Linked DNA regions of Macaca fascicularis. The protein of the gene in region 3 purifies or fractionates together with the protein of the main gene of each other region. This does not show direct contact. Links are inferred from orthologs where the notes say so. Each region holds a gene or a part of one and is shown on either strand. Other genes may lie near its edges.

The links. Proteins that work in one complex are often made in the same cells at the same time.
Region 1: the proteins of YAF2 (region 3) and CSNK2B purify together in Homo sapiens (affinity purification with mass spectrometry; 5 studies listed by BioGRID and IntAct, counting the BioPlex papers as one, with this or other methods). This does not show direct contact. The link is inferred for Macaca fascicularis from reciprocal best matches to the Homo sapiens genes YAF2 and CSNK2B.
Region 2: the proteins of YAF2 (region 3) and MAX purify together in Homo sapiens (affinity purification with mass spectrometry; 3 studies listed by BioGRID and IntAct, with this or other methods). This does not show direct contact. The link is inferred for Macaca fascicularis from reciprocal best matches to the Homo sapiens genes YAF2 and MAX.
Region 4: the proteins of YAF2 (region 3) and MGA purify together in Homo sapiens (affinity purification with mass spectrometry; 5 studies listed by BioGRID and IntAct, counting the BioPlex papers as one, with this or other methods). This does not show direct contact. The link is inferred for Macaca fascicularis from reciprocal best matches to the Homo sapiens genes YAF2 and MGA.

What each region holds. Positions count from the first base shown.
Region 1 is NC_088378.1:140,053,628-140,058,250, forward strand, and holds the start of CSNK2B (casein kinase II subunit beta), read right to left. Parts: upstream 3,294-4,623; 5' UTR 3,191-3,293; intron 2,608-3,190; 5' UTR 2,597-2,607; coding exon 2,525-2,596; intron 1,577-2,524; coding exon 1,474-1,576; intron 911-1,473; coding exon 795-910; intron 353-794; coding exon 277-352; intron 131-276; coding exon 1-130. UniProt on the Homo sapiens protein: Regulatory subunit of casein kinase II/CK2.
Region 2 is NC_088381.1:132,921,615-132,926,206, forward strand, and holds the start of MAX (protein max), read right to left. Parts: upstream 3,294-4,592; 5' UTR 3,279-3,293; coding exon 3,039-3,278; intron 2,618-3,038; exon of another isoform or gene 2,565-2,617; coding exon of another isoform or gene 2,508-2,564; coding exon 2,481-2,507; intron 1-2,480. UniProt on the Homo sapiens protein: Transcription regulator. Forms a sequence-specific DNA-binding protein complex with MYC or MAD which recognizes the core sequence 5'-CAC[GA]TG-3'. The MYC:MAX complex is a transcriptional activator, whereas the MAD:MAX complex is a repressor.
Region 3 is NC_088385.1:48,735,229-48,738,623, forward strand, and holds part of YAF2 (YY1-associated factor 2), read right to left. Parts: intron 1,566-3,395; exon of another isoform or gene 1,479-1,565; coding exon of another isoform or gene 1,432-1,478; intron 853-1,431; coding exon 700-852; intron 1-699. UniProt on the Homo sapiens protein: Binds to MYC and inhibits MYC-mediated transactivation. Also binds to MYCN and enhances MYCN-dependent transcriptional activation. Increases calpain 2-mediated proteolysis of YY1 in vitro.
Region 4 is NC_088381.1:18,190,886-18,195,619, reverse strand, and holds the start of MGA (MAX gene-associated protein), read right to left. Parts: upstream 3,294-4,734; 5' UTR 3,219-3,293; exon of another isoform or gene 2,516-3,218; intron 1-2,515. UniProt on the Homo sapiens protein: Functions as a dual-specificity transcription factor, regulating the expression of both MAX-network and T-box family target genes. Functions as a repressor or an activator.

The DNA of each region.
Region 1 (4,623 bases), on a different chromosome or scaffold from region 3:
ATGTGAGGGAAACCAGTGCCAAAGTAGGCGCCATCCGTGTGATGGTGTCTCGATGACTTGGGTGTGTACACATCCATGCACTTGGGGCAGTAGAGCTTCACCATGGCTTCACCTGGGATGTCTGAAAGGCCTGGGAGACAGCCAGACTCAGCAGGCCAGGTATCTCCCTGTTCCTACTTAACCTCCCCTCAGGACTCAGGCCCCAAGATGCTGAGCCCTAACTCCTTCCCGTAAGACTGCCACAAGGTGCCTTCCTTTCCCTTCTTCAACACTCACCGATGGGAAGCATTGGCTGGTTCTCACAGTACACACGAGGACAGTAACCAAAGTCTCCCTGCTGGTACTTTTCCAACTGAAGTGAATAAAATGGAAGGGGTTGGCAGGTAGGTGTGAAGAGAAGAGGCAACTCCCTTCTCAGCTCAACCCATATCACTCTGTCCCCCACTCCTCCCACCTCTGTCCAGAGGCCCCTTCTCTGGCCCAGATGGGCTCTCAAACTCCTATGTTGCCTTTCTTCCAGTTAGGCAGGCTACAAACCATCAGAGCCATTTGTTGTTTGTTCCCTGAGGAAGAGGCAGTCTATCACAACTCTCTGTTCAAGGACTGTCTCCCTCCCTGAAAATTATCCCTTCAGGATGACCCCCAATCAGAATTCAATTCCCAGGCCCAAGCCTGGGGTTCTTCTCCTCTTCTCAGCCAGTTTCCTTAAACAAGGCTTAAACATGACTTCTTGCTGCAGGAACCTGTGTCCCTTACTGCTCAGAAGGAGGCAATTAGGAGCAGAGAGGCCTCACCATCTGGGCAATGCCACGGTTGGTAAGGATGTAGCGGGCGTGGATCAATCCATAAAGCATCTCGGCAGCCTGCTCAATCAGGTCACTCTGGTTGGGGTTGTCTTCCAGTTCTTCATCTGAAACACAGCCCGGCCAAATGCAACCACTTGTTTTTCAGCTTTCCTAGGTGCCCTGCCCATATCCAGGGGGTGCGGGCTATTCAGTTCGCCTGGCACCTACTTTTGGGCCTTACCCCATCCAACATCTGGGCATGTGACCCAGAAACCTGGGCTTCTGACCCTTGCGCCAACCCAAGACAGCTCTGTCTTCTCTTCACACCTCTTTAGCCTCCGCTCCCCACTCTCCCTCCCAGCTCCCTCCCCGATACATAACTGCAACAATGTCAATGCAAAAGATGAAACTCTAGACTGGAAGGTGCAAAGCAGGAGAAATAGCAAACCAGACCCATGAGGAAACATATTTTGGAAAACATCTGAATTGTGGATTTAGAAAACATGGGAACAAGTGATATACGTCACAAAACTAGACACAGTCAGGTGGAGGATCAAAATAAAGCATGAATTTGGGGTTAAAGAAATCAGAGAACCAAAGGAAATTTCAAAATTCAAGTAAGTGAATATAGATTTGAAGAGAAAAAAAGTGCATGCACACACACAAAACAACCCTGAGGGTGCCTCACCAGGCTCCAGGTCCAAGATCATGTCTAGAGCTTGTCGATAGTGAGGAACCTGCTCATTGAGTCCAGTAAGATTAAATTTGTCCTGGATGTAGTCTTCATCCACCTGTTGGGACATGGAAGCCAAGAGGGAACCCATATCAAAATCCCCATCTTTGACCTGGGCAAAATGCTCTAACTGATGCCTTATCATCAACACAACTGCATCTGTTCCGCTTGTTTCTCACTCCCAACTCAGCAGAAGTACTTGCGTCTCTCCCTAGTTCACCTATACTCCCTCCCATAAAGCTTTGGCTTTTCTTTTCTAAGGATAAGCAGGTACAGCAATCTTTTTCTTAGACATTCTTTTCAAGATCTCTGTCCCTACTCCTGTACTCCATCTCTAGGAACCAGTTTTGTCCTCTCAGCTGGCTGAGGAGGATGGAAGCTGAACGGCATGGTTTCTGAACAAAACATTTCAATACGTAGCATTTCAATTTTCCTAACAGCCAGCTGAGACAGGTACTAGCAGTACAACTTTAGTAATAAAAGATACAGGCTGGGCGCAATGGCTTATGCCTGTAATCCCAGCACTTTGGGAGGCTGAGGCGGGCAGATCACCTGAGGTCTGGAGTTTGAGACCAGCCTGGCCAACATGGTGAAACCCTGTCTCTACTAAAAATCCAAAAATTAGCCGGGCGTGGTGGCGGGTACTTGTAATCCCAGCTACTTGGGTGGCTGGAGCAGGAGAATCGCTTGAACCTGGGGGGCAGAGGTCGCAGTGAGCCGAGATCGCACCACTACACTCCAGCCTGGGCGACACAGTGAGACCCAGTCTCAAAAAAAAGATAAAGAAAAAGACACAAATTGCCTGCTGGAGGGTGGCAGAGTCGAAACTTGGGCCCCAGTTTTGCCACTTTAGCACAGGTTCGTCGGGGGTTATTGAGGGGACTCTTCGTTGATGGGAAGTTTTCAAGTAGTATGTAAGAGAACAGTGTAGAAGTGGAATACGTGAAGGAACATCTGGTGGGAAGATATGTGAAGCCAGCAAGTAGGGAGGTCGAAGAGAACTCACTTCACAGAAGAATTCATTGCCACGGAGCCCACAGAACCAGGAAATCCAGGACACCTCCTCTGAGCTGCTCATCTTCACGTCAGCTGAAAAAAAGAGTGTCAGTAAAGCTCAAGTTCTCCTTCCCTGCCTCGGGTATCCTCCCTCCTCCCACATTAGAACCACCCTTTCTTAAAGGATCCCAAACTCTGAAGCACTCCTCTCCAACTCCTCCAATTTACATCTCAGTTCCCTTTTCTTTGACGTTAAACATTCTTTGGGGTCCCACCACTTGAAAGAAGCCAACAGATACTTTGACCCACCAGCCCGACCCACGTCCCTGGAGCTCCCGAAAGCCAGGGCCCTCTCTTCTCTGTGTCAACTCCGGCAGGGACCTCGACTCAGGCTCCGTACCAATGCAAGTCTCTGCACGACCCCGGCGCCTTTCCCAAGGATTTCCAAGTTTATCACTCTCAAGCAAGAATCGGGCGCCTCCTTTTCTCAAGGGTTGGGGGCGACTGTCAGGTCCCTTTCACCGGATTCCACACATCCCCCCTCCGCTCCTCAAGCCACCTCTCCCTCCTTGCCGGACCTGGTTGCTTCCTCCCCCCGCCCCCATATCAAAGTGCGGAGACCCATGTGCGGCTCCCAGCGACAAGCGACTAGGAGCAGCGAAGACCTCAGACTCACCAGCTGGACGGGGACCAGGACTGGGGTGGGGTAGGGAAGTTGCTACTTCGAAGGAACGGCGGCGACCGCTACAGCGCAGGCCGCGGACCCGACCGCGGCAGGCGAAGTGGGGTGGGGGGAGTGGAAATTGGGGAGGGTGGGGAAGAGGGCAACACGCAAGCGCCAAGGGTCAGGTGCCGCGGTGGATGCCGGGACGCGGAGTCCCCGGTAGAGAGAGAAACCGGCTAAGTGAGGGAAAGCGAACTACCAATCCCAGGATGACCCGCGCACGACCTGGCTGTCACGAAGCCCCGGAGGAGGACGCTTGCGGGCGGGGCGCAACGAGAAGCCACCGGAAGCGGAAACCAGGTATGGCGTTCGGGGCCTGGGAGCCTGGGCAATACAGTTGTGTGCTCACTGGGCGAAGAAGCTGACTTAGGGCGGGGAAAGGAGGGAGCCAGGCTGGACCCCTCCTCGCAGCTCTCCTCACAGTTGCCCTCTAGTCCCGACGCGGTGCTGCTTCCCTGGGGACTGGCCTATCCTTGGCCAATGCGCTGGGTCCTTATTGCCTGTTGGGCCCCTAGTGCGAGTCAGTCCCGCCAGAGACCCTTGACGGGCCTTCTGTTTTACTCCGGGCTCCGGCCTCATGAGGCGAGAGGTGCGGCTTGGCTCCGTGCGTAGGGACTTGGGTTGGGAGGGCTGGGCTGGGCTGGGCTGGGCTGGGCTGGGCTGGGCTGGGCTGGGCTGGGTGAGAACCAGAACGGCCCAGTGCGCTAACCTGAGGTGGTGCCAGCCATTCTGCTCGTCCCCTTGCACTTCTCCATTTCCCCTTAGTCTCTAAGTGTGACCTTCGAACCCTGGTCAGAGTAATGGTGAGGGGCAGGCGTGACGTTATTTCATTACACGGCTTCTCGGCATTCCACAGGTTTCCCTCCGCCTCCTGAGGGCCTTTCCTAACCCAGAGAGTGGATTCCTAGCTCCAGAAAATGGGCTTGGAGCGGGGGCCACGTAGAGGAAGGCGAAGGGCATTGTGGGGGCGTTATGTAAAAGTAGGACCCCAACCGACAGATCCTAGCGCTCGCGCCACCTGGGCGCGCGGAGCTTTGCTCGTTTACTATTGGAAAAGTTCCAGCGCGGGAAACTGAACCGGGAGCTTTGCGCACGCCTGAGCCATCAAGTAATGTGGGTGGTGGTTTTTGTTGTTGTTGTCGCCACGCATGCGTCTCCGTGCCGTGTGGCTATTTGATTGTGTCAACTCTGCTGATCAGAATAGCGCCATTTTGCGTTACGGAAGCTACACGGCAACACGTATAGGAGCCTCTCCCCGAGATCTTCTAGGGAGTGACCCGTCTATTTTTGTTTGGGAAGAGGAAACTCCGAAATGGGATCACGGAAGACTTAAAGGGCCAGGTTTGATTTTTTTTTTTCCTACTGGTATGTCTGTTTTACGGGGT
Region 2 (4,592 bases), on a different chromosome or scaffold from region 3:
TTTTTTAAGGCAAAACTTAAGAATAGCTCCCTCTTAAATTTAAAAAAAATATATTTATTATCTATATTAAATATTAAGAAGTAAGCAGATGCATTCACAGAGGGGAAAAAATGGAATCCTTTTTACCCTACACATTCACGATAGTTGTCTGATACACTATAAAATTTGTCTAAAACACATCTGCTTTTTCTCTCCATGCTGTTGTAATTATATTGTGCAGAGTAATACTTAGAAATCTCAACAAATAGATGTGTTAAATTAAAAACAAAGTGTCAAACCAACTTCCCTTGCCTACTCCGAAAATCAAAAGGAAAAACCCTAGGCACCTTAATAGCAAACTAAAAACATCTAGACAAAACAGTGAGATTAGCATTCCAGGAAAGCAGAAACATTGTAATAATTTAATAAACAAATTTACATCAACAATCATGTGGACGAATATTTTGAAAAGCAGAACGCTTTCAAGAACTGTGAGCCAAAATTTCACCAAAAAAAAAAAAAAAAAAAAAAAAAAAACTTTCTCTTACTAGGATTCAGTATAATTCCAATTCAAAGGATAATTCTGCAAAGGAAGCCTAACGATCCTTACCCTCTGTCTCTGATCAAGCCCTGGCACAGATTTTACAACTGGAGACTTGCAGGAAAAAAAAAGTTTTCAACAGACTAGGCCCCAAACATGAAGGATAAAAGTAAACGAAAAAAACGAATTCAATTTTCAAATATATGCATAAGTATATGAGAATACTTCAAGGATAAATAAAACAAAATAAATTATCTTTAATGACTATTACCCAGGGATAATTTTTAAGATTTCTGGAACAACTACATCCCCGGATTTTAAGAAAATACCAGCTCTCAATAAATAAGTTTTCTTAATGCCTATTTGCTTAGACAACCTGCATAATCTTTGCTTGCTCTAATGAAGAGCAGGTACAACTGAGATGGCTTGCCTTTATCCTGTGATTATTAGGTTCTTATACCAGAGGTATCAAAGTGACATCCTGCAAATTCTAACAAGCCCAAACAGTTGTTCCACACATCATTTTAAAAATCAGAAAAATAACATAACGCTTTGGATTTCTAATCTTTCTTAAAAAATAGGAAGATCAGCTGGGCGCGGTGGCTCACGCCTGTAATTCCAGCACTTTGGGAGGCCGAGGTGGGCGGATCACGAGGTCAAGAGATCAAGACCAGCCTGGCCAACAAGGTGAAACCCCGTCTCTACTAAAAATACAAAAATTAGCTGGATGTGGGGGTGTGCGTCTGTAGTCCCAGCTACTCAGGAGGCTGAGGCAGAAGAATCGCTTGAACCCAGGAGGCGGAGGTTGCAGTGAGCCGAGACAGCACCATTGCACTCCAGCCTGGTGACAGAGCGAGACTCTATCTCAAAAATAAATAAATAAAATAAAATAAAATAAAAAATAGGAAGATCTGGCAATACTGACCCTTCACTCCTACATAACAAACCACTGGAATTCAGTAGTGGCTGACCTTTTAGGAGAGGCATTGCTCTCCAGTACCCAAGTCCTCACCTCTTCTTTCTTTATTCTTTATGGCCCTCATGGGCATTCAAATTTTTTACCCCCATTCTATACACTTCCTACTGTTCCCAATTTCAAATATTAGAATTCTGATATACTTATTTCTCTTCCCCTCTGATTCTGATTTATTCTATATGTTTTCTTTTTTTCCCCTCTAATCTATTCATGAAAAACCCATATTACTGTCTCAGACTCCAGAGACATGAAATTAGTGCATATCTAAATCCACAGAACCATCTACTGGGAACATTAATATCAAAACCCTAAAAAATTATTGATAACATTATATGGTCTCATCCATCACCTTTCAGCAAAGCTCTTCCTGCAATGCCACTTTTCTTCAGCTATTTTTTAATTTTCTTTATACCTCTTCTTCAAATACAGAGAATCAGACCATAATAACTTTATGTGACACTTTGATGATGCAACGTTTGGCTCCTCTACATTTCCAATTTTTGTGTTAGAATACCACATTGTGCTAGATTCTACAGGTCTATAGCAGTCACATGACTTGGTTAAAGGCGATTATTGCATGTGGCTTCAGCTTCACATAATTATACAGATATGGTTTAAAATCTACTTGTTCCTAAATAAATCTTCTGACCACTTTGCCCTGAAATAATACTACCACTGACTTCAGAATGCTGCATTTCTCATTTCCACTTACATAGCGGCAGCTGGATCCCCTATTTGAAAACTACAGAACAATTCAATTCTTTGCATACAGCTCCTCTTACTGAACTTATCACCTGAGAATCTAGAATGATAGGATTTGCAACTCCCCCACCCTCCAGAACCAGGCCCCACCTCACCTTAGTGGTTAACATTAGTGATTTACTACAATATTAAAAGTAACAGTACGATCTCTTTTTCTCTCTGACCCCAAAAAGGAATAGAACTGAACGGAAATAAAAATGAAATGGAGAGTAGGAGACGTACCGCAGATTGAAACCTCGGTTGCTCTTCCTGGAATAGGAGAGAAAAAAAAATAGAAAATATAGAAGTTATTTTTACACTTAACATTCAATAATAAGAAAGAAAATGCCGGCGGCAGAGGAAGCGGAGGGTGGGGAGTCAGCCCGACACCCCTTCCTCCCTCCCCACCCCTTGCCCCCACCCTTCCACCCTCGGCGGGATCCGGTAGCGGGATAGAGGGGTCCCGAGCGCCGCCCCTCCTTCCGGGATCCGACCCGGGCCAGAGGGGTCCCGAGCACTGTCTCCTCCCTGCAGACCCAGCTCGGGCATCTAGGCACCCCCAACCCCTCTCCGCCCTTCCTCGCCCCCCAGGATCCGCGGGTCACGGGAGGAGAGGATCGCGTTCCGAAGGGGCAGGTCCTGAACGCCGTCCCCTTCCCCTGGATCCGGACAATGGGATCCCGGGCGCCCCCCATCCTTGTCCCCCGGATCCTGAGCCCGGGAAGGTGGGAGCGGGAGGCCGCAGCACCCTCCCCCACGGGAGAAGGTGGGAGTCCCAGAAGCCGCGTGTCTTCCCCCCACCTCCAGTCCCAGGAGGCCGCTCCGGCCAGGAGCCGTAGGGGAGCGAGCCGGGAACGCGACGGAGGCAGTCCTGGCCCCGAGGGAAAGGGGAAGGGGAAGGAGGCGGCGGCGGCCCGGCCCCCTCCCGCCGTCGCCCCGCTGAGAGCCCCGGCCGCTGTCCCCGCCTGACAACCCGCACGGGAAGGAAGAAGCCCCAGGACTCACGTCGCTCTCCACCTCGATGTCATCGTTATCGCTCATTTCCTACAGCCCAGGGAGCGGCCACTGCAGCGGCGGCGGGGAGGGGAAGGGGTGAAGGGGAGGGGGAAGTCACCGACAACAACAAGCCGAGTCCCCCCACACACACACTCACTCACTCACTCACTCGCTCTCTCACTCACACACACACACAACACGGGCAAGAACCACCTCCTCACTGCAGCACCGGATCAACGGCGGCACGCACGCCCGGTCGGCCCCCGCCACGTGACCAAGCTCGCAGCGCTGGGGCAGCCGAGACTTGTAGTTTTTGTCCCTTTGACAGACGGCCCGGGTAACTCCAGAAAAACTACAAATCCCGGAAGAAACCGCATCCAGGCGTCGCCAGCCAGGCTGGTAGACGGAGCCCAGGGCGCCTGCGCGTCCCGGAAAGGGGGCGGGGAGAGCCGCGGCGCGGCGCCTCCTGGGAGTCGTAGTCCGCAGACCGCGAGTTGTCAGGAGATTTTCCTCCAGAGGCGGCAGAGGAGGCTGCTGGGAAGACAGGACACGTGGAGGGAGCTGGAGCTCCTGGAGCCGGGCACCGTCGGCGCGCTGAACGCCGGGCCCAGGGGACTGGGTGGAGTCTCTGGGGGAGTAGCCGGCTGTCTAAATAATGCTGCCTCTTTTTGGTGTGACTGGTTATACTTTGTCTTCTTGATGCGAAGTGGTTCTGTTTTGCGCCTAGGGGCGTAACCCGCCCTGGAGGGAATCCGGCTGCGGCGGAACAGGGGGTGCGGCTCGGGATGCCGGCGCGAACCCTCGGGAGCTGGTGGGGAGGTATCAGTGGCAGGTGTTTCGTGGTGTTACCGGACAGGCAGGATGACCGACCTCGCCGGGCGACCGCTCCCAGCCGCGAGAATCCTGTATTCATTTATCCGGGAGTGACCATCCTCGCTACTCAGCTACTCGCGTGAGGTTCCAGCATTCACAGAACGCGAACCCTCAACCACTGTGGACGTGAAAGTAAAAGCCCTTTAGAGTTTGTTGTAGCCCAGGCAGTTTAGGCAGTATCCCAGCTCAGAGTACCATAATTAAGATCGCAAAAAGGATCAATATGGGAAACTTGGGCAGTTCCCTGTCCAGTTAAAATCATATTTATATACTGTGGCATGAAGTGTAATCACATCCATTCCACCAATATTTTTTGAACACCTAACATGTGCCACAAGGGGATGCCATAACGGATAAGACCAAAACCATCCCTGCCTTAGGCCAAAACCATCCCTGCTTTTATGCATGCAGCTCACAGCTGTGCAAGCAAACGTGTCTGCCCTGCCGCCATTTTAAGAGTATGCAACAAGTCCCATGGGAAGGAAA
Region 3 (3,395 bases):
AGTAACAAAATGAATACACATATTTAAAGCAATTTATGTGTAACCAGCCACAAAAACATCGTAAAATGTTTCAACTCATTAACATTAATCAAACCAATCATTCATGAATATTCTTCAATGCGACCAAAAACTGTGACAGCCTAGAAGTAGAACTTGTGCTTCTATAGCTGTATCATAATTTTGCAGACAGCTTATTAACTTTATTAAAATAGATGTTTTAGACAACAATGAAATAGCTGCACCATGGAGCAAGGTGATAAAAACTAAGGTTGAGCTACATGCAAGGAAGATTGTTACTCCACTGACACACACTAATAAGGGTATCATGATTGTTCTGACTGAACACATGACCATTTTGATAGGTTAAAACCCATGCAATTATCTGTTCGGTATTTTGAAAACCACTCCTGGTTCAAACAGCTCTTCTTAAGGGAAAAACAAAACAAAACAAAACACCCAGATACAATGTCTTCCAATCTAGTACAAAGAAAAAAGCATCACCACATTTAAGCTTGTATTTGTGGCTTCTGTGTTTAATTTCCAATGTATCTTTCAAACTCAGTAAAACCTTTTCTGATACCTTAAAAGAAAGGAAACCAAATATTTTACTTCCACTTTGTGTGTATTAGTATATCAATGGTTAAAAAATTAAATGGTTTTATTATTTCAAAAATGTCATAAAACACTCTTCAAATTTACCTGGTTTTCTTATGGCTATTCTTTTTGCTAGTTGTTTCTTTTTCATTTTTTTCTTTTTCTACTTTATCTTTTTTCTCTTTCTTTGACTGTGTAGGAGGCACAAACTGCTGAGTAACCTGCTGTGCAACCAACTGGGAGACAGGTCGAGGTTTCCTGTGTGCATGTTAAAAAGAAAGGTATTTTAAATTATAACTTAAAACATAAGTGCTTTGTGAGAGAATATCTCACATTATGAAAACAAATTAATAATACAATAACTTTCAAGTATGTATCATTGTTTTTCCTGTTCAACAAAAACAGAACAAACTGTAACAGTTAAAATTTATAGTCTAAGATATATGTTCAAACATTAGAATACTGTTACATAAATCAACATAAGAAATTATTTTAAATGTATATCAAACTAAATGGGATGTACCCATATAAACATGAATTCTAAAAATCAAACTTCAAAGTTTACACTGAAATAATAATTTATCCCTCCTCCTTCAGAGAAGGAAATACCTAACCATTTGTGACAATGGCTATCTGTTTTTTAAAGCTTTTCATTTATTCATTTAATAAACATTTACTATCAAAATTTCTCACTCCTTATTGCTTAAATCCTTTAAGTTTCTTACATCTCCAGCCACAATCTCACTATGCTCTTTTGACCCTGGAAATCTACCCAGTCCTTTGAGACTCATCTACTTGCTAACTTACTCATTTAGAAAGTATTTATTGAGAACCTACTGTAAGAACTGTTCAGGGATATCTGAAATGTTGCCTGGCTTCAACATCTGATGCTGGTACAAGCTTTCACCTGTCCACCTTTACCACAGAACTTGCACAACTGAGGTTAAGATTCAAAATACAGTCTCTAAGTTCTTGAGAGAGAAAGAAGGATACAGCAAGGAAAGAGGCAGAGGGAAGGAGGGAAGAAGTAAGATAAAAATACATTTTAACAGATGGCTCTACAAACAATAGTAACTTTATTGCATGAAAAATCCTGACCCTTTTTTGGTTAGTACAGTTTTTTAAAAATCTTTTTTCCCCCTGTTCCTCTGCAGCAAGACAACATAAAAAATAATGAGAAAATATTGTACAATCTAAGAATCAAAGCTGCCAGGCTGAGAGAAAATAGGAAACAGTATGTAAAGTAGGTTTCAGGAGATGGATAATGAATTTTGCTCAGGGCCTAGATAGTCTGAAGTACTGAAAGGATATCCAGGACAGATGTCCAATATACAACTTAAAAAATAGGACTGACATAGAGTTTGAGATGTAGATTAAGAGTTGCACAAATAAAAGTGATATTGACAGTATGGTAGTTAATGGCTGAGGTTAAAAAAAGAAAAGGGTTAAGGTGGCAGTTTTCAAATTTAAGGTACATCAGAATCACCTAAAAGGCTTAGCTTGCTTAGCCTGCCCTCAGGGTTTCTGATTTAGTAGGCCTTGAAGTAGAGCCCAAGAAACTGTATTTCTAACTAGTTTCCAAGTTATGCTGAGGTCTCTGGGGATCACACTTTAAAAAGAAGCATGAAGAAGTGCAATATATCTGGTGAATACTGGTACTACTATAGGATAAAGTTTGAGATGGAGAGCAGAGTGGTAGAGAGAGTGAAAAAAAACCAAGTTGGATAGATAAGAAGGGATCCCACGATTAAAACCTAAGCAGTCTGATTTTATTCTTAAGTGATGAGAAGTCACTGAAGAAATTCAGACTTGAATTTTACAACAATTACTTGCATTAGTCTGAAATAGAAAGGTACTACACCACAGTAGAAGTAAAAATGTGAGACTAGTGGTCTAATAAGTGATCATGTAATCTCTGTACCTAGTGTTGTTTGTTGTTATTTTCTAACCATCAACAAATTTTCTGTAGTGGTTCTTTTTTTCTGTTCTTGAGTACATCGTTCTCTTTTCATCCTAGGCTTTCCTAAATGTATACTACACAACTATTCCACTTTTATTCTTACTTTAATGTGAAGGTTGATTTTCACTTAAAGATTACGATTTTGTACCTCAATTCTAGGATTATTTCATCTGGTTGAATTTTGAGAGAAAAGAAGCATAAAACATAAATGTAGTTTAACTTTTCAAATAAAGTTTAATTATTCAAATATAGTTTAATTATTCAACTAAAGTTCTCTGCTGCTCTGTAGGGCTAAAGAGCTTTCACTGAAGGTAGGAGGAACACAGTTTATGATGATCTTTTTACAATGTCATAAGTCACTCAACTCCATGTCCTATTAAAAAGAAAGCCCTTCTATCTCCAGGTATCTTAAGGTTTATGATTCCTTTTCTATTTGATGAGAAAAATCAGGATAGGAGGAAATTTTAGAGGTGGGAAATAGTTAACTCAGGAAATAAAGGACAGAGTATCATTTATAAAATATACCTTTTTATGTTCACAGATTTATCATTCATGGTTTTGACAGTACACTTTTAGTAATGCCAAAGGATCCATGATGAGGAGTTGATGTGCACAAAATGGTTGCCTAGTTAATAAATGACTACTGACTAAGCCACTGGCCAACTACAGTCCATCATCTACTTATTAACATATGCCATGATTAGACTGTATTTGTCAGCTATGATATTCACCAATTTGGGGATCCCTATGTATCTTTCATAGACAGCCCAAATAGACTGTATAAAATTTGGCAGTCTATTCATTTACTATAATGTAAGAAAAGGGGGAGCATTTCATTACT
Region 4 (4,734 bases), on a different chromosome or scaffold from region 3:
GGTATGGTGGCAGGCATAGTCTGCCGGTAGTCCCAGCTACTTGGGAGGCTGAGGCAGAAGAATCACTTGAACCTGGGAGGCGTAGGTTGCAGTGAGCCGAGATCACGCCACTGTACTCCAGCCTGAGCAACACAGCGAGACTCCATCTCAAAAAATAAAATTTTTAAAAAAATACAAAAATTAGCTGGGTGTTGTGGCCTACACCTATAATCCCAGCTACTTGGGAGGTTGAGGCAGGAGAACTGCTTGAACCCAGGAAGCGGAGGTTGCAGTGAGCCGAGACCATGCCATTGCACTCCAGCCTGGGCCCACAGAGTGAGACTCTCAAAAAAAAAAAAAAAATTTAATTTGGCTAGGCTCGGTGGCTCATGTCTATAATCCTAGCACTTTGGGAGGCCCAGGTGGGAGGATTGCTCAAACCCAGGAATTCAAGACCAGCCTGGAGTAACATAGTGAGACCCCATCTCTATGGGGCTGGAGGATCACTTGACGTCAGGAATTCCAGACCAGCATGGCCAACATGGCGAAATCCCATCTCAACTGAAATTACAAAAATTAGCCAGGTGTAGTGACGGACACCTGTAATCCCAGCTACTCAGAAGTCTGAGGCAGAATTGCTTGAACCCAGGAGGCAGAGGTTGCAGTGAGCATCACTGCACTCCAGCCTGGGGACAAGCCCAAAACTCCCTCTCAAAAAAAAAAAAAAATATATATATATATATACACACACACACACATACACACATATATATATATAATTCACCTAGTTTTTTTTTTTTTTTTTTTGGAGACAGAGTTTCACTCTTGTTGCCCAGGCTGGAGTGCAATGGCGCAATCTCTGGTCACTGCAACCTCCACCTCCCGGGTTCAAGCATCCCAAGTAGCTATGATTACAGGCATGCGCCACCATGCCTGGCTAATTTTGTATTTTTAGTCGAGACGGGGTTTCTCCATGTTGGTCAGGCTGGTCTGGAACTCCCGACCTCAGGTGATCCGCCCGCCTCAGCCTTCCAAAGTGCTGGGATTACAAGCGTGAACCACCACGCCCGGCAATTTTATTTAAATTTTAAGGTAAAAATCCCATTCTTTCTCCAAACAGTTGATTGTTCCAACATAAATTTTGGAACCCCTTCCCTACTGATATGAAATACCACCTTTGTAACACTAAATAATCTTATATATTTCTAGATTATTCTGTTTCACCACTCTTGTGTTCCAGGGTTGCTACTTACATTTTGATTATCAAAGCTTTATTTGTATATTCTCTAGTACAAGTCCTTTTCCCATTCTTCTCTTCCAAAAAGTTTCTTACTTTCTAGGTTTACTTTTTCAAATGAATTTTAAAACCATTTTGTCAAGTTTTCAAAAGGAAATCTGGTTGGAATCATGTAAAACTGCCAGCCATATCTCTCTGTTGCTATTTTCCTCAGTGGTAAAATGGAAATAACAGTACTTACCTCGCAGGTTTGTTATGAGAACTAAATAAATTAAATACAGTACAAAGTATTTAAAACACCAAGCCAGAAAGATGTTAACTATTATAATTACTCAAAAGTGACAGCTATTATGATTGCTCAATAAATGTTTTCCAGATGTGTTCGCACAATCTTCAAAGGCTCTTTTTAAGATAAATCAAAAGGTATCATAAAACATAAGCAGTGGTGTGGAAAACAATTTATACTTTTCTTCACCAACGCCTTGACCCTTCTTTGGTGAAATAAAGAGCTGGAACTGGGAGCAGAGACCAAGAAAAATGCCACAGGCTACCAGGTCTCTAAAATTTTACAAAGCTAGCCCATCAAGTGGAAACGAAGACTTCTAGGCCCTTCTAGTCAGCGTTATGGGTGATCAGCATTTCCCTTTAAATACTACTATTTCCCCATCTCCACAGTTATGACAATAGTAGTTACCTTTTGATTTCCTCCCAGAAAATACATAGGGATTAGATGTCTAAAAGACAGTATTTTTCAAATGAGGTCGTGGGCCCCTATAAAGTATAAATGGGAATGATAAAGATGGAGAGACATGCCCAGAATATTATAACAAATTACCTCTACCAGGTTTCCCACATCACTGTAAAGATTGAGAGGGGAGAGGCTGTGGGTTTTTTTTTTGGGGGGGGGGGCGGTTGTCTCATTATAATTGTTAAGAATTTGTTAAATTTTTTTTTTTCTGCATTGAAATTGAAGTGAGGAAGTCAGAGGCCGTATGAGGGGCCTTAAGAGGTGATCTCCTCTACTGAGCTGAATGAGAAATGGAAGCCGAGAGTGGCAAGATGAAACCAGCCAAAGGCCTGGACCCCAGGCCTCCGAATTCCCAGATCTCGGCTCATCCCAGTACACCACACAGCTTCTCACCGACGCTTGCCACGCTTCGAGGTGGGAGGAGTAAAAACAGGCAATCCGACCGCAGCAAAGACGCTGGAAAACCACAGGCCGGCGCAGTCGAAGGCACGTGACCCGCCACGCCCCCCCCACCCTCCCCCTGCCCCGCGCCAGCAGCACGCGCTGCCAACCTCGTCATGTGACCTTCACGCGGCCCCAGCGCTCCCCCTGCTTGGCGACTCTTTCCAGCAGCCATTTTGCTGAGAACTTGTCGTCTGTGCTTGCCGCGGAGCAGGACGCCGCGAAAAGCCGCGGCCAGAATTTACGGGCCGCACACGCGCTTCGAAAGAGCGCTCAGGCCGTCAGGGCCCGGTCGAACCTCAATGAACACGTCGCACCCCGGGGCGCCGGGGAAAGCTGTGGGTGCGCCTCGGCCTGAGATTGGCTGTGGCGTCCACGTGACGCCTCAGCCCCCTCCCCGCCACCTTCTCCTTCCCCCCAACTCACAAAAACACCCAGACTGTTAACACCTCGCGCCAAGAACACGCCACCAGGCGCGTGGGGACGGGCGTAGCGCGTGGCAAGCAAAGCGCCTGCGCGTACCTGCCAGGGCCGACAGCAACCGACCCACGCGCCGTTCCGCTCGCGGGTCCCGGAATCCTCGCGCTGCTGGACCACCCGGCTAGTCATTGGCTGCCAGTTCGGGTCACGTGCTGGTCGCCGGCCCGCCCCTACCCGCTAATCACCTGGCACCGAGCTCGAAGCGGCGCCGAGTCGTTCGCACGCGGAGAGGGAGGGTAGTTAGAGGGCCATCCTTTTCTGCCATTATGGAATTAAACTCATAAAGAGGAAACGAGAAACCAGAGGTTCAAAGCTAAGGAAGCTCGCACCTACCGGCTTAACTTCGCGCGCCTCTCCAGGAGCCGGGAACCATCGCCCTTGGGCGCTCCCCGATGCACGCCGGGATACGCCTGGCGCCCCTCGGTGTGCTGCAGAGCATGCCGGGAAAGGCACCTCTCCCGATCTCCTGGCGCTCACCTCCCGGGCGTTCCTTTCGTGTCCCCTTTGAAAGCCCGATCCTTGGGCTTGGAATGAGACGGTTTGGGTAATTATGGGAGTGTGGCGAGGTATACCAGGCACTTTGAGCCCCTCCTCCCCGACTTGTTTGATCTGTGTGGTCTTGGGGAAACCGTTTAACCTTTCTCCACGGAGCAAGCGTTAAGTGTGTGCCTGCTGAGTGACTTTGTAAAGATTCAAAAAAAAAAAAAAAAAAAAACAGCAAGGGTATTTGCCTACAAATGAACTGCCAGCCTTTCCTGGCCAATGAAAAAGAATGCTAATTTAAATGCAACTTACCAGGAGCCCCACATGAGAGTGGAAATGGCACTTGGAATTTCCCTTGGGATAGAAGATGAGCCCTTTCTTGCTAAACTCACTGCTACTGTTGGGGAAAGCAGGGTGATAAGAGCATGCGGCGTTTTAAAGGAGTCAGGGACATGCCTGTATCACAGTTACTGGTTCCACCTCATACGAGATACGGTATATTGGAAACGAGAAAAAAAAAAACACCGTCTCCTAACTCAGAAAAAGTGGTCAGGCATCAGAACCAATTAACTTTGTAACATATTCACAAACTGCCCTTCAGGCCAAAACCTAATATTTTACTCCCATGAAACCCCCACTTAAAACAATTCACACCTTTTCTGCTTTGAACTCCATTCTTCAGCTTTGCCGATTTCAGAACGATTTCATCAATTCTTAAAGAGATGATTAAGCTTGAAGAATTTGACTAGCGATGGTCAAGCTCAAGAGTTCTTATTTATAGATTAAAAATTAAATGTATCCATTTATAATGTGGTTATTAAGCCAAAATATAGTTTGTGGCACCCTTTTCTAATTTCAAGGTACTTCATAAGCCTAATTATCAGAAAATTATTCCCTGACTAGAAAATCAAAAGAAAGGGTATTAGATGATCATGTGTAATAAAGAGCATTAAATTGTAAGCATATGATGTTATATTTGAAGTTTATAAAACATTCTAATATTCATTATGTATAATCCTTATAACAACTCAGAGAAAAGTGCCATACTAGTATTACCATTTTCTGAGTCAGTCTTGAGTGGGAATCTGGAAAAACATATTTTAACATGTTCTCCAGGCAATTGTTATGCACAACTGGATTTGGGACATATTGGCTGTAGTGGAAAGAACCCAAGGTTTGAAGTCAGACAGATCCATGTCAACTTGCAGCTCTTATACTTCCTGCACTCTGATTGTGATGACAGGTTTTTAAACTTTTTTTTTTTTTGAGACCGAGTCTCAGTCTGTTACCCAGGCTAGAATACAAAGGCATAATCTCAGCTCACTGCAACCTCTGCCTCCCAGGTTCAAGGAATTGTAGTGTCTCA